Bombyx mori: one gene and its partner. The protein of the gene in region 1 purifies or fractionates together with the protein of each later gene. This does not show direct contact. Links are inferred from orthologs where the notes say so. Each region holds a gene or a part of one and is shown on either strand. Other genes may lie near its edges.

Evidence for each region. The genes of interacting proteins can lie anywhere in the genome.
Region 2: the proteins of E3 ubiquitin-protein ligase RBBP6 (region 1) and cleavage and polyadenylation specificity factor subunit 6 purify together in Homo sapiens (affinity purification with mass spectrometry; 3 studies listed by BioGRID and IntAct, with this or other methods). This does not show direct contact. The link is inferred for Bombyx mori from reciprocal best matches to the Homo sapiens genes RBBP6 and CPSF6.

Annotation. Positions count from the first base shown.
Region 1 is NC_085123.1:7,885,304-7,888,876, reverse strand, and holds part of E3 ubiquitin-protein ligase RBBP6, read right to left. Parts: intron 3,499-3,573; coding exon 3,335-3,498; intron 2,727-3,334; coding exon 2,636-2,726; intron 2,217-2,635; coding exon 2,110-2,216; intron 1-2,109. UniProt on the Homo sapiens protein: E3 ubiquitin-protein ligase which promotes ubiquitination of YBX1, leading to its degradation by the proteasome.
Region 2 is NC_085120.1:8,924,761-8,928,333, forward strand, and holds part of cleavage and polyadenylation specificity factor subunit 6, read right to left. Parts: intron 1,499-3,573; coding exon 1,283-1,498; intron 634-1,282; coding exon 522-633; intron 1-521. UniProt on the Homo sapiens protein: Component of the cleavage factor Im (CFIm) complex that functions as an activator of the pre-mRNA 3'-end cleavage and polyadenylation processing required for the maturation of pre-mRNA into functional mRNAs.

The DNA.
Region 1 (3,573 bases):
AGCGTCAAGGCTGACGCCCATAGATAGAATGGGTAGGTACGTATGCTAGCGTGGACGAACACACGGCCCACCTGATTTGTTTATACTATGTTGTCTAAGTCATTCTTTTATCAGTAAAGTGCGTATTTCATTAGAAAGCAATTGTACCTGTTTGCGAGATTTGAACGCCGACGCGGTCACATCACATTATACAAATACACTGGGCGTCTTATCCTTTAGACCACAACTTTTCAATATGCGAACTGATTTTGTGTCATTTAATGAAACTTTCATTTCCCCGTGACGGTCTAGTTGGTAGTCAGGATTATTTTAAAAATAACTAACCAAAAACTACCTTCATTTATCAGTTAACACCTTGTAACTCTAGATCATAAATTCTAAAATAAATTACGTTTAACGACTTATATATTTTTATTATTTGTTAATTGATTTCGGAAAATAGGGAGTGTGAAATATCTGTGACATTGAGCCAATATTATCATATTCTTCTATGTGGTGTGGAATACTTTGAAGCAATTATTTTTCTTATTGTAACATAGAGCCACATCACATTTGTCATATAAAGTTTAGGAGTTTCCAAGTGTTGCACCTGATCGTTTTTTCTGACCAAACCGGCCAATGTACGATTTGATCTAAACAAACTTTCAATTAAATGCATATACATACTAAAAACACTATCTTTGTGTGATAATACACGACGTATTATTTTCCTTAGTATGGTATGTAACAGTAAAGATACAATGAGTTAAAAGAAAATAAGTATGAATTTTTTAAGATTTTTATAATTAGTTACAGAAATGTTACAAGAGGCTACACCGAAGCTAAGAGTGGATAAATTTATCAGCCCCTTCACGAAGATGCTTGTGCGTTACTTCAAAACGCAGGTGCAAAAATAATTATTTAAGGGACTTTTTGAGATACAAATATTTAGGTGTTTGTTATTATTATTTCTAACTTACAAACATTTTTGTGTGAAGTTTGTAGATGTCGAATGCGTCTGGTATTCAAAGTACGTTTAACTATATTTATAACTAGCGGCCCGCTCCGGCTCCGCTCGGGTCTTTAACAAAAATTTCAACGGTATTTGACGTTGTTTAATTTTTTTTAAATAAGAGAACACTTATTGCGGCATAACTATAATAGTTAGACATATGCTGTCCCGACACTTTTTGTAAATAATAATGTGTTCTACAAAGTCGTAGTAGGTACATTATTTTATTCTATCATCAATCGTTTTCGCAGGGCTCGCGATGCAAATATTTTAGGAAAAATTTTTACACCTTGGGTAACATTATTAGAGTTTTAGTAACGATTGCTTTTTTGTTTCAAAAAAGATTACAGCCTATGTCACTCGGGAATAGTGTAGCTTCCAAACAGGGAAAGAATTTTTCAAATCGGTTCAGTTGTTTCGGAGCCTATTCAATACAAACAAACAAACAAATCTTTCCTGTTTATAATATTATTATTATTATTATATAGTATAGATAAGAAAATCGTAGTTAGAAGAAAAAAAAAAGTTAGCATTATGTAGTAAAAGTCAAAAAGTGGTGCAATAAATCTTATACACGATTTTGTTTACTACATTCAAAATCAATCGTCGATATCCGAATATCGTCGGTCATGAAGAATTTATTTTATTTTATATAACGTGAAAATATTTACTTAGTTCGGCATTTTTTTTTACAGAAAATGAGATGTGAATTTCTATAAATCGCTGATGAAAGATTCTATACACTATCAAAATCTATTGAACTATTTATTTTATTGGGAAATCGCTAATCTATTTTACAGAAGCATCGTCAGTCCTTCCTTACGCTACAACCGAGTTTGCGTAATTTAAATCAAGTCAGTCAGAGAACGTTCTCGGTAGCTACATACTTATTTCGTGCGATATCGTGCGTTTCGGTTTGAAGGGTTTGGTAACCGTTGTAATTATACTGAGACCTTAGAACTTATATCTCAAGGTGGGCTGTGCATTTACGTTGTAGATATCTATGGGCTCCAGTGACCACTTAACAACAGGTGGGCAGTGAGCTCGTCCACCCATCTAAGCAATAAAAAAAAAAGACTGTGGTCATAATAATAAATAAGGTGATTAAAGGAACTTACCTTTTATCGGAGCACGGGCTTGAGCTGGCGTGACCGAGGGTCGATGAGGTGCTCGCCGGCTGTATCCAGTTTGATTGCGAAAAGACGACACAGAGTTCCTCAAGAATCTAAAAACAACACAATTAGTAACAATTAGCAACAATTAGCTGTTACTATTCGACAAATGCATAAATTTAATCTGTTAATTTATTTATTCAAATTAATTAAGGTAAAAATAAATCCGATATTACAGTGTAGTCTATTGCAGCCACGAAATAATGGTTCGCTCCGCTTTGAGGGATAGGATATGTGTTGTATCAAATCAATAAGAAATTGGTGACAAATTCGAAGCTAACAAACAAAACCTTATGCTAAAAGGTATACGATAAACGGTACGTTCTCTATTTTAAGTTTGTTTAAAGAAATATAATAATGGGGTTAACTGGCTTACATATTTAAGATATACATTTATTTCTTTGTACTCTTTAAAAAACATTCAACAGTTTTTTTAGTTCAATAAATATCGAATTTATGTAACTAGTGGTACCTGTTTGGAATAAGTGTTGTTGGAGATATTTCTTTTTCCCGACAGTCGGGACATTCATGATCCTCAGATTCCAGTAACGCACCTCTTATGCCTTATATGAAAATAAAATTTCATTATAAATAACCAACGAAAGCGACTCTTGTATTGAAAGTTATATATGAGTCGTCTATTATCAAAGGTGGCAATCTGTGCATTTGGACAAAAAATGTTATTGATATGTCAATACAGATTGATTTGAATATAATCGTCTCCTTCAGAGAATACGGTTCAAAACCTGCATTAAATAAAGGTTTATACTTAACCTGTTATTTATCTAAGATGTCGTTCAGAAGTGTTTTGTGACTGCCAATGGAATACATAGTCAATAATTCGTTTTTCTGATTTACCAATAATTGTCCAAAAGTCACATTGCCGGCTTTGATAATAGTCGACTCATATAGCGACGCTTGAAAGGCAAACGTGACTAAGCGACAATGCGTGAACTTTACAGTAGACTAATTTAACGTTGAAATACCTGAAAAAAATTCTATTTTAACGAATCTAGCTGTAGGATTGAAATGATTTTAATAGACCTAGAAATATATATTTTTTGCGCATCAAATATGGTTATTGCCTATCATTTATGTATAAAGCAGTTATTGTCGCTTAGTCACGTTTGCCTTTCAAGCGTCGATATGTATTCGTTCTTGTACTACATACATTCATCACAAAAAGAGTTTCCACAGCACGGTATCATTACAGCGTCGGTGAGAAGATCGCGACACAGACTACAAATTAGTTCATCCGGTATGGTTGGTTCGGGAGCGCTGGGTGCGCTACCAGATGGATCACCAGCACAGTTCTCAGAGGCCATATAAGCCTCACTGTGAATTAAAAACATTATTTTAATAAATATAATCAATAGATATAACACCGCTTAGCAACAGCTGATCTTCTAG
Region 2 (3,573 bases), on another chromosome or scaffold:
TTGCTTAGATGGGTGGACGAGCTCACAACCCACCTGGTATTAAGTGGTTACTGGAGCCCATCGACATTTACAGCGTAAATGCGCCACCCACCTTGAGATATAAGTTCTAAGGTCTAAGGTATAGTTATAAAGCTGCTCCACCCTTCAAGCCGAAACGCATTACTGCTTCACGGCAGAAATAGGCGAGGTGGTGGTACCTACCCGTGCGGACTCACAAGAGATCCTACCTACCACCAGTAATTACGCAAATTATAATTTTGCGAGTTTGATTTTCATTACACTATGTTATTCCTTCCCCGTGGAAGTCTATCGTGAACATTTGTTAAGTACATATTTCATTAGGAAAATTGGTACCCACCTGCGGGATTCGAACACCGGTGTATCGCTAGAGTAATGCTCCGAATGCACCGGACATCTTATCCTTTAGGCCACGACGACTTTAGAATAATAATGATATGTTTCTACTTTTGATGTTTCGAATATTTTATCGAGACGTATTAGTATACGATTACAATATGTACCTCCGGGATGAGGACCAGGCGGCCCGCCTGGATGGGGTCCTCTCATTCCAGGATTATTGGGACCAGGAGGCGTCGACCTGGTCTTTGACTGACTTTCAAACTGATTCAACGCCTGTAGACATTATCAAAGTTTACTTACTTTCACTGAACCGAATTAATTCATCTATATATTTCCTACGCTGCTAAAACTATTATATTATTTTGATTAATATCGGTAGACTATATTAATTACCGATGGACAAAAAAATTACAAATACTAACTTAGATACTACTGTCCACCATCTCAAAACCATGTGGAAGTCAATAGCTATCATATGGCCGAAGCTATTTACTCCTCAATTTTACCAAATGGTTTGCAAATCAATTAACAGAAGCCAATCTCCATAACCATTACAAAGTCGCGGTGGTTTAAGATTCAAAATTTTCTTTTCGGATTTTTTCAATGAGTAGCCTCCGTGAAAACGATTCGGACATTATTGAAAGCTTTAATGTTGCAAAAGGTTTATTAACCACTTTAGATCCATTATTAAAAAAAATGTAAATTCCTTTTTTGTTTTAATTTAAACCACGTTTCAACACCTCATCGCGACTCACGCATTGCCCGAAACCATATTTGCAGAAACTAATCTATTACTAGGAAAGGTTACTAGGTATATTCATCATGAAACTATTTGTGCAATTCATAAGTACCTAATCATAAACTATCTATCTAGTGTCTACTTATTATGCTCATATTTTGTATCAGTTAACATTGACCTTACCTGTTTAGTAGGCAATGTAACTACTGGATGTTGCCCGTGTATCTCCTTCTTAGAAAGACGTTCCATCACCATCCTGACTGATTGATCTGAACCGAGAGATATAACGCAGAATCCTTTGGACTGACCATTGGCTCTGTTCTCAAAGAACTTCACATCTTGAAAATCGGAGACACCGACATCCGAGATCGCGTTCGCAATATCTTGGTCCGTTGCCCACTGGAAAAGGTTTTACACAAAACTCAGCCACGCTGCAAACAGGCAGCCAATACACACAAGTCACATACATCATTTATTATGCCATCCAGTCCACTTACATGCCACTTAAACAAAATCGGTCGGGGTAAGGTTCAATTTAAAGCGCCGTTCACACGCCGTATTAAGATTTTTTTCATTAACACCGAATTATCGAGAAAGTGAATTTACAACACCGCGCTTACGTCTCATAGTAGATCCGATGATTAACGTGAATAAAAATATTTTGAATACTTTTGTGTACCTTTTGACGCGAATTAAAAATCTACAATGTACTTTTCATCAACTAAATCATTAAATATGCCGGAATAGAGCTTTGGGTGAAAAGAAAGAGCTTTTTTGTGATCATACTATTTATTTCTTTATCACAGATAATTTGCATTATAAAGTTTTTTTACAACTCCGAATACTCCAACGGTTACATACTGAAAAAAAACTAGAAGGAAAACAACCATTAACAAGGTAATTATAACATGAACACATTACTTGTAAATGGTATTTCACAAGTCAAATGAAGAAATAAATTTAACATGTGGCTAAACACACACTGATTTTTTTTGTGTGCAAATCAGATAACAAAATTATCGTATCCATGCACTGATACTAGATAGATTTAATGCAATTAACAAAACTTGAAACGACAGCTGTTGAAAGTATCCTTTACAAAGAAAATAAATACTCTAAAATACACACATACAAAAAGTGTTAAATATTATTTATAATTTACACAATCAGTTGATGTCGCGGGGTTTTTTTGTAAACTACCTACATTATTGTTTAGATTAATTTGCACAGAGCAGACGAAACAGTTTGGACCAGGCGATTTGTTTGAGTTATATAATTTATTTATTTTATTTGTTACGTATTACAACATTTATTGTTCGCCTCTACATTTCGCACAAGAATGTTGATATCTCTTCAACATAAGTATCGAAAATCTTCAGATGTATGCAAAAAAATAGCAAAACATATGTTAAAATAATTACTAAAAAACTATAAATACAATACAATCAATTACCTTACCTCGTAACAAACCTGATAAAAGAATAAACAAATCATTACAGATGGGGATGTCAGAAAGTGAAAACTTTCAGCTCAATATCCCAATTTATTGATCAAACACAAGCGGGACAAATAGCCAATTTTACACTACTGATTCTATTATGTACTATGTGATGACTATGTAATGTTTATTTTTTTTTTTGCTAATTTAGCCTATCAATAATCTGATACAGGTAACTGTTTTTCTGACTAAACCGCAAATTTATGGATATTCAATAAATAAACACAACAACATTTTCGGAACGATATATCAAAATTTTGTGTGCGTACAAAATCACACAAACGGTTTCAAAACTTGTTGCTGCAGACATGTTACATCATAATTAAGCAAGTTACTGTAGTGTAGTTAATGGGCAAAAATGGTATTTATATTAATTAGTACATCAACTATTATAAATAAGATTATACATCCTTTCATACTTCATCTCTCACATAATCTTACCAAACCCACATCTACTTGTATGCAAAATATAACTGCAATCTGTGTTGTTTAAGTACACAAACAGAATCCATCTACGTAAACTACGCCAACTCGATTTTGATGATATTCATTTTCTACTGCTAGTATCTTTATGATATGATGATATATATGATTTTATTGTAAAACTCACTGTCTGTATATTTTTGCTATCGATTTGGCTCTATCTCGACAACAGATAGCCTCAAAAGTAGAAGTACAAAACAAACGGAAGAATATAATATAACTTAGCAGTATTATGAAAGGTTATGTAATGCTTTCCACATGAAATAATTTACAATAAATTGCATTACTAAAACAACTAAAATCATATTTAACTTAAATGTTATGTTACAAAATATTTTAGTTGTTTAGTTTCACCTTTTGTAACATTGGGAGGGTAGCATAAATCAATGTAAAATTAAATTTAAATGCAAATCGTAATGTACAATACACCAGGTAAAATAGCAAGAGTGCATTTTTCAATCATAGTTTCAAAATATAAAAGAAGCATAAATAA